Linked DNA regions of Mus musculus: region 1 is reported to be linked to region 2. Evidence: microRNA targets listed by miRTarBase, many of them from high-throughput screens and not tested one by one. Region 2 holds a microRNA gene; the other region holds the end of a gene's coding sequence.

Region 1 (4,385 bases), not on the chromosome of region 2:
ATATGTGTGCCACAAGTGAACTCTAGCATAATCTCTGATTATGCTAGAGTCAGAGGTGGTGGCTGCCTTCTGGAGTCCAGCACTTGGGTGGCCTGGAAGGAGTGGGGGTCCCTGCAGGATTGATGCCAGTCTGAGCTACATATCAAGACTTTGTCTCAAAATAACCAAAAGGCGTGTGTTGGATTGCAACTCTACCACTTGATAGATGATCCCAGACAAACCGTTTAAGCTCTCCAAGGCTGTTTCCACCATTTGTAACATAAAGACAACAATGAAACATAACCTAAAGGGTAGCTGTGGAGAGTAGACTGCAACAATGGAAACCACTAAGCAGAGGACGGGCATAGTCAGATGGTCAATAAGTTCAACTGGGGGTTGGGGGGACTTACTGTGCTTCTCTGTGGAATTATCATTGCCTAAAATTGGGGTACATTCAAAAAGAAAAGGAGAAAGTACAGGAGAGGACTAGGGCAATTATTTTTATAGCAATTGTTTTAACCTAAGGAAAGGAAATAAATGGGAGAGAGGTGTATTGTGAGATCTCACTGTATTGATAATTTCTCCTCTAGGGTAAAAACACCAGATTCTATTAATACTCTCTTTACCTGTGTCTGCCACAAGACCATCATACAAACACAAGAGAAGCCCCAAATAAGCCTCCAAGCCTCTTGTGCTGGTGAGAGGTTCTGAGCTGGTGAAATACTTCCCCCCACAACCCCTCCCTCTGGCTGGAGCTGTGGCCTCTGGGATGGAAAGTCAGACTCCCCAATTCCATTCCCAAGGTTAGCCACCACCTTCTGGATCTCCATGCAGGGTGCATCTCTAAAGCAGAGAGGGTAACGTGTGGATACTTCAACCCCTTCTACCCAAATGAGAGGCGGGGTCAAGGTTTTCGGGGAGCAATCCTACCATCTCAAGTCCTGTAAAACTAAACTGGGGACTTGAGAAAACTAAACTCTCTAAACAGTTTATGAGGAAAAGCAGTGTCATGCCTGTTCCCTTAGCTATAAAACGGGAGATGATAATGGGACTTACTCCATAAAGTTCCCAGTGAAGATCAAATGAGCCAATATTTTGAGAGGGCTTAGAACACTCCCTAGCACAGGTGTTGGCTAAACTACCAGGGATTCTATTTCACGCTCTCTTGTTTGTAATACTTTTTATTTGTGGTCATTATTTCTCAATCTCGAGGCATTAACAATGGCCATGCCGTAGATATTCTAACCCCAATGCACCTCTGAAGTAATGCCCAGCTAGAAGCAGGTGTGTGCTTTAATGTACTGGGGGTTGAACCTAAGGCCTCAGGGCGTTCTGGCCAAACCTTCCGAGCTACACCCCTAAGCTCTGACTAATGGCTTATAAATCCTTCAAATCAAAGGCACCCAGCTTTTCCACAAGCCCAACCACAAATGGCTATATCTACTCATTTTATTTTTTTTTTGAGAAAATTAATTGCACAGAAAACAATACAGCAAAGATTTGAAACTAATCGGTAACTTTATTAATAATAATAACAGTGTCTACCCACTTGAAAATGCACATGCAGTGAATGGATTTATTCGATCTATGACAATGTTTGGAACTCTCTTTTGGATCCACAAAGCTCCTGCAATCAGCTCCAATAACCCTTACCACAAAGCAGAATTGAGAAAGCAATCAGACCATCAAGAATCTTCACCAACAAAATCAAGACTTCAAAGGAAAAACTCAGTATGCTACACTCCCCACAAAAGAAAACCAAGGCCGTTGTCTTCAGGTAGGAGACAAGAGTGGATGGTATTGGTGCAGGGGTTGGCCTACGGACCTCCCTATTTAGCTTCTACTACCTTCACTATTCGCTCCATAACCTACCTATCCTGTAGACCCTCTGAAATGTAAATGATTGGGACAATTGTAAATTGGAAGTTCATCTTAGTAGAGGATAGAAAAATTAAGAATGGGGATGGTGGCAGTAAAATGTCTCTCTCCCAAAGGCCAATGCTCCATTTAATACAAACCCAAGAGCTTCCTCTAAATTGTCAAAATTAAGGGAACTATTACGGCCAGTCCCTAGTAAACACACACACACACTCGAACACAAACACATGGCTTACTGGAGTTCAATGGCTGGGGTTCAATGGCTGTCACCCAACGGAAGGTCCAATAATCCAGTAGTTGTTCAGTCCACAAGGCTGGGTGTCTCAGCCGGTCTTCAGTGTATGGCAGAATCCCAAGTAAGTAGGGCTCTAATGCCAGTTCAGGAACAGACTTGCCATCTCCAGCAAGCAGGCAAAGAACAAGCTTCCTTCTTCCATGTCCTTAATAGAAGCTGCCAGCTGGCGTGGCCCAGATTAAAGGTGGGAAAGAACCAGATTAAAAATGGTTCTTCTCATTTCAAATTATGGAACTAAGAAAAAATAAATCCCTCACAGGTGCACCCAGCTGCTTGGGCTAAGAACCAAGAACAGCTACCACAGTAACGATAACTAAAGACAAATTTGGGAAAAAAATCCCCAAAACATTTCCTTTCCAACGTGTCTTCACATACATCAAATGGACAAGGCCTCTGCCACCCCCGCCTTAATATAAAAATTAATTCAATAAGTAATTTTAAAAAGCAGTGATATAGGCCCCTTGGTCTTGCAAACTTTATATGCCTCAGTACAAGGGAACACCAGGGCCAAGAATGGGTGGGTAGGGGAGTGTTGTGGGGAGGGTAAGGGGGACTTTGGGATAGCTTTTGAAATGTAAATGAAAATACCTAATAAAAATATATTTTAAAAAAAGCAGTGGTATAAAAATGAATTCAATAAGTAATTTTAAAAGTAGCATCTGCTGTGGTTGAGGCACTGGTGGGCTCTGGAGGTATAAAACTGTCAGACCCAGCTTGATCAGCAACAGTGTAAATAAGAAAGCAAAGGGAACTTGAGACAACTTCTCCTGGAGACACGACAGGAGGGAAAAAGCTAATTCCTGCGTGTGTGGATTCGAAAGATCGCTTCATGAGCCCAGAGAAGCAGCAGTAGCCTGCGGTAATCTGGCACTGCAGAGGTTAAAGCAAAGAATTAAAAGGAAAAACAAAAACAGAACAAAACAAACCAAGCAAGCCTCGAACAGGGATTTTAAAGCCTGATAGAGAACCATAACCGACTTCTACCAAATCGGCAGCAACGTGGAACATTCGTGTTTGTAAATCAGTAAATTAGAGGGACACCACCCTAAGTACCCCGTAACCGCTGGTGCCCAGGACACAAGTAAAGGGACAGAGCGGTTTCAGTTGTAGATGGCTGGTACCCAGCATTCGCCGACACAGTCTTAGCTGTGTCCTGGAGCCCTCTATTCGCCAGGGTAAGGAAACCATCTCACTTTAAGTCGACAAGTAAATGGTACCCCAAAAGCCTAGAACACGGAAACCGGGCCCAGAGACCCACCTCCATTATCCTAGTCTAAAAAGAACTCCAAGAAGCTAAGTAGGGTGCAGCAAACTGCAAACAGATACCCACAGGGGAACTCAAAACCACAAAGGCTTAAAACTTCTGAAGTGTACCCTTTTCAAGACCCTTGGAGTAACTTTGGAATAGGAACTAGAAACTAATGCAAGTGGCAAAGCTCTCTTCTGATTTGAGCGGGTGACTCACTAAAAGAGACTTTAAAAGATCAAAGGGGCCAGCGAGCGCCTCATCCAGGGAGGCCTCTACTTGGCGCTGGTGTACTTGGTGACGGCCTTGGTGCCCTCCGACACGGCGTGCTTGGCCAGTTCTCCGGGCAGTAGAAGGCGCACCGACGTCTGGATCTCCCGCGATGTGATTGTAGACCGCTTGTTGTAATGCGCCAGGCGAGAAGCCTCGTTTGCTATGCGCTCAAAGATGTCATTGACAAACGAGTTCATGATGCCCATGGCCTTGGACGAGATGCCGGTGTCCGGGTGCACCTGCTTCAGCACTTTGTACACATAGATGGAGTAGCTCTCCTTGCGGCTGCGCTTGCGCTTCTTGCCATCTTTCTTTTGCGCCTTGGTGACAGCCTTCTTGGAACCCTTCTTGGGAGCCGGGGCAGATTTGGCCAGTTCAGGCATGATTAAAAGCAAACAGTGGAAAACAGTCTAGTAAGTAGAAAATCAACCAGGGACCCGGAGGACTTGAGCCCTTTATGAACGCCTTATGCAAATTAGGTCTCAAAGTACTTTTAATTTCCATTGGCCCATACGCGAAACTTGCGTTTTCAGTACAAGCCTAAAATTTCAGATTTCATTGGACTTCTCAGGGGCCAAATAACCACCAATGAAAAGCTCCCTCCTCACCCCACCCCTAGGAGCGCCTATAAAGGCCTTAGAGACGAATCAACCTAGCTTTACAGAAGTTGTCACCTCGGTGTGTCCTACATTATACTCTAAGTTATGTCTGGCC
Region 2 (4,385 bases):
GGAGAGAAAGTGCTGAGCCTCCAGGGCCTGACTCCTGGATCTTCCTCTATAAAGGAGAGGATTAGGACTTCTCTTATATTTTTCATTGTGAGCCTAGCCTTTAATGGTTGAGCCATCTCTACAGCCGAATTAAGACTTCTCAGTCATCAGGCCTTTGGGACTAACATAGCAGGAGTTCCTGACCCATCTGACTAAAAACAAAAAATCACAGTAAAGGTTGAAGTGTCTATAGCCCTAATCCCGGGCTGTCCCAAGTTCTTAGAAATGCGCAGCAAGCATGGCTAGTAAGTGCTTGACTGTGTTATTTTACTCAGTCTTCATAATTATCATATACATAATCCTATGAGGTTTATACATTAATTCCATCTTATAGATGAGGGCAGCAAGGCACACAGAGGGTCTCAAGACAGGGTTCAAACCTAGGTCATTTGACCCTGGAGCCTGTGTTCCTACCCAGTGGTTTGAGCTGATATTATGATAGCCCGATTCCAGCCAGGAAGCAAGCAAGCCTTCTGTCCTACAAACCAGACTGTGGCATTGTACAATGTGAGGAACTCAACTTTGGGGGAAGTCATTGTTCCTGGGTATCTAAGAATACCCATGGTGACTGTCTACTAAGAATGGGAGCCAATAGATTTGTGTCCTGGGGTCAGGGTGACTTCTGTGAGGCGGTAAGACAGGATACAGCAGGACAGGCTGGAGAGTGCCTAGTTAGGCCCTTACCTCAGCCTCCTCCAGGGCTGACTGCAGCTCCAGCTTCTCCACCTCCAGCTGTTTGCGGATCTTCTCCAGCTCGTGCACGTTTTTCCCCCCTTCTCCCAGCTGTTCAGTCAGGTCTGAGATCTCCTCTGAGGATCAGAGGACCAGAAAGATCAATATGCCTTGCCCCACTTCCCTTTCCCTGAGGCTCTTCCCTGTCCCCCAGCTCGCCCACCCTGGAGGTTCTTGTTCTCCCGCTTGAAGGTCTCCAGGTGCTCCAGAGACTCCTCATAGGCGTTCTTGAGCTTGAAGAGCTCTGTGCTCAGGGAGCGCGCCTCCTTCTGGGAAGACTCCAGCTCTGACTGCGACTCCTCATACTTCTGCTTCCACTCAGCCAGGATCTGCAGGGAAGGAGCGCCCTGTGACCAGAACTGCCCAGGCCCCTCTCCTGACTCAGCCCTCCTCCCCCACCTCCAAGGAACATGCTGTGGCCTTGAGCTGGCACTGACCCCACCAGCAGCATGCACAGTGTCTGCAGCCCCACCGTGAGCCTACCTTGTCAAAGTTCCTCTGCTTCTTGTCCAGGGCTGCGGCGGCGGCATTGGAGCGCTCCACGTCCACCATCAGGTCCTCGATCTCATTCTGCAGCCTGTGCTTGGTCTTCTCCAGGGAGGAACACTTGGCGTTGACGGCCTCCACTGCCTCCTCTGCATCCTGCAGCCTCTGAGCCAGCTTCTTCCTGTCCAGGGGAATGTATGTGACTGTACTTGGAGCCACAAGGACGTGAGATGATCTCCTCCTTCCGAGTGTTGATGGGAAAGACCCAGCTTCTCCCCACAGTTCCCTAAGATGTTGGAACCCCAGCCTAGAGGATGTGAGGGCTACTGGAGCCTAGAACAGAGACGTCCATCACAGGCTGCTCAGACTCTCCCACACATACATCACATCTGTGTGACTGTGCACCCCCACCCGCTTCCCTCAGGCCCAGGCTGCATGATGATAGCTCCTCTGACCAACAAGCTTTTTGCTCGTCTTATACGTGAGTGTCAGGTATAACCCGGGCCAAAAGCTCACCCGTCAAAGGAAGTAAGCAAGGGCCAGCCAGGCGTTACAGGTTGCAGGACTCAGGCTTTCTACCAAACACTCCCATGGCTCACCAGGTCTCCCCATCCTCTGTTCTCCCACCCCAAAGCTCTTTCCTGCATCTACTCTGCCTGTCTCCACAGCAGACGCTCTGCTCCATTCTCTTGGCAAATCCAGGGGCAGCCACAGTGGACTCACTTGGCTTCCTCCAGCTCCTCCGTCCTCTGTATGGCATCCGTCTCATACTTGGTCCTCCACTGGGCCACCTCTGAGTTGGCCTTGGACAGGACACGCTGTAGCTCAGCCTTGGCCTCCATTTCTTCTTCATACTGTTCCCTCAGCAGGTCACAGTCATGCCGGGATGATTGCAGTGCGTGGGCCAGGGCGTTCTTGGCCTGGGAAGAGGTGGGCATCAAGGAGATTGGAGCAAACCCAACCCTCCAGTCTCTAGATTCTTATGCGTATTTACTTCAGTCAAGACCCAGATTCACCCACATGAAGTGGAGTCTCAATGTCTTTGAGTGATTTCCATTTGCCTACCTCTCTCCTTTACCAATAAGGAGTCATTAAATGATCAGGAGGGCTGACCATTTAGTAGGGAGATAGGTTACCAGGTTACCTCTGGCATCCAGGTGCACTCTTGGAGGTAACAGTGTGTCCAGTGATGCCACGGAGTCTGTCCCACTGCCATTATATGGGCCTCACCTTGCCTTCCTCCTCCAGTTGCCTCTTGAGGTCCTCCATCTGCTGGGTGTAGGAGAGCTTGCCTCGGGTCAGCTGGGAAATCAATGCCTCCTTTTCTTCCAGTTGCCTAGCCAACTCCCCTGCAGGTGGAATGAAGGGTTCTTGGGCCATGGAAGGGGGAAACCAAAGCTACCAGGGGCAGGCTAGGGGACGGTAAGGGGCACCCACCGTTCTCTGTCTGCAGCTTGGCTCGCTGTGTGGTGAAGTCATTGAGGGAGCGCTGGGCTTCTTCCAGCTTCACGCGGTACTCATTGGCCTGGTCCTCCAGTGTCCGGGACACTTTCTCCAGGTTGGCCTGCAGGCATTAATGAGCAGAGGAAAGGTGAATGTGGAAAGGGCCACGACTGGCAGGGAGGAGGGGAGCTGCTGAGAGGGCCCACCTTGGCCTTGATGATCTGCTCCATGTTGGAGGTGACGTCATCCAGCTCCAGCTTGAACTCGCTCTTCTCTTTCTCCAGCTTCTGCTTCACCCGCTGGAGGTTGTCGATCTGCTCGCCCAGCTCCGCCACGCTGTCAGCATGCTTCTTGCGCAGGGCCGCCGCCGTGGCCTCGTGCTGCAGCGTGGCCTCCTCCAGGTCCCGCCGCATCTTCTGGAACTCGGCCTCGCGCTTCTTATTCATCTCTATCTGCACGGATGTGGCCCCGCCTGCCTCCTCCAGCCTCTCACTGATCTCCTCCAGCTCCCGGGACAGGTCAGAGCGCAGCTTCTCCACCTTAGCCCGGGCTGTGCGCTCTGCCTCCAGCTCCTCCTCCAGCTCCTCGATGCGTGCCTAGCCAGGGATACAAAGGATCAGACCTGCTTCCTGGACCCCTCCCTTGAGGCCCGTGCTCCAGGGCTCTAAAAGGCTCCCATGCGCACTAAACCTCTAGCACGGGTTTTCAGCTACTAGGTATAGCTGGTGATGGCTGGAGACATTTTAAACTGTGTGGAGGATGCTATAGAAGCAAGGGACATTGCTAAACACCCTAGAATAGAAAATTGGCCGAAGCCAAAGTTTGGAGGATTTCCCTAAAGCATCTGAGATTCAGTTTGAGCATCTGCAGCCTAAGTGTTGAGCATCTGTGTTTGGAGCGGGATCCTGAGATCTCCTGAGATTATGAACCTCAGACAGCCAACAGTTTCACCTGACTCTGATCCACTGACTATAAGGCAAGGAAATGAGCACTCGGTTTTTTTTGTTTGTTTTTTTGTTTTTTTGGTTTTTTTTTTGTTTTTTGTTTTTTTAAACTAACATTTGTAGCAAAGCTGCCTCAAGAACAACCAAATCCTACTGCAATTATCTGAGCTAACCATGAGGTCTAATCACCTAGATTCCCCATGTCATGGATTCCTTAGGTATCCTAGGTCCAGGATGTAGCTTGATTGCTCCTTTCCAAGCCAAGCTATGTATCAATAAGATGCCCTCTTCTTCATACCCCTACCTCATTGGTGTGGCCTTAGACTTGGTCCTGACTAAATCTGGAGTATGCACATTTGCCATTTTAGCCTTTTGTCTCTATAGGGAAAGTTTGTGGAATTCTCTCTCTCTCTCTCTTTTTTTTTTGGTGCAATGGACAATTTTAATGAACTACAGAGTAGACCCTGAGGTAGGAGAGAGGGGACTTACACCTCTGCTCTCAACGTGGAGAAGGTAGGACTTGAAGCACAGATCCTACACAGAAGAGGGAGGGGCCTATAGACGCAGTGAGAATAATGACATTATTATCTCCTAGAGGCCAAAGAACTTGCCCAGACTTATGGCAGAAGATGCAGGGGATGGCTCAGTATTCTGGGTAAAATAAAGAAGATGGAGCCAAGATGGGAACAAACCACACATGAGTGCTGGTAAGCCTAGTTACAGCCTTACTGTCATTGTGCA

What was found. Region 2 holds the annotated microRNA mmu-miR-208a-5p (GAGCUUUUGGCCCGGGUUAUAC, at 1,750-1,771, opposite strand). A microRNA usually pairs through its seed, bases 2 to 8, with sites in the 3' UTR of a target mRNA and lowers its output. Matches are read on the target gene's strand: a 7mer-m8 pairs with bases 2 to 8, a 7mer-A1 pairs with bases 2 to 7 and ends in A, and an 8mer does both.
Region 1: the mRNA of H2bc21 is a reported target of mmu-miR-208a-5p. Seed matches in the 3' UTR shown: 8mer at 2,714-2,721.

The regions. Positions count from the first base shown.
Region 1 is chr3:96,220,835-96,225,219 of GRCm38, reverse strand. H2bc21 (H2B clustered histone 21) reads right to left here and starts at 4,148. Exons shown (of 1, transcript NM_178214.4): 1 at 1,482-4,148. The coding sequence starts at 4,054. The coding sequence ends at 3,674. It overlaps H2ac20 (H2A clustered histone 20), which reads left to right and starts at 4,340. Exons shown (of 1, transcript NM_175662.2): 1 at 4,340-4,385. The coding sequence starts at 4,376.
Region 2 is chr14:54,947,358-54,951,742 of GRCm38, forward strand. It overlaps Mir208a (microRNA 208a), which reads right to left and starts at 1,785; the gene lies at 1,703-1,785. It overlaps Myh6 (myosin, heavy polypeptide 6, cardiac muscle, alpha), which reads right to left. Exons shown (of 39, transcript NM_001164171.1): 26 at 2,907-3,296; 27 at 2,695-2,821; 28 at 2,488-2,606; 29 at 1,981-2,177; 30 at 1,255-1,438; 31 at 935-1,100; 32 at 724-848. It overlaps Gm52092 (a long non-coding RNA gene), which reads left to right and starts at 3,683. Exons shown (of 3, transcript XR_003950992.1): 1 at 3,683-4,157; 2 at 4,240-4,351.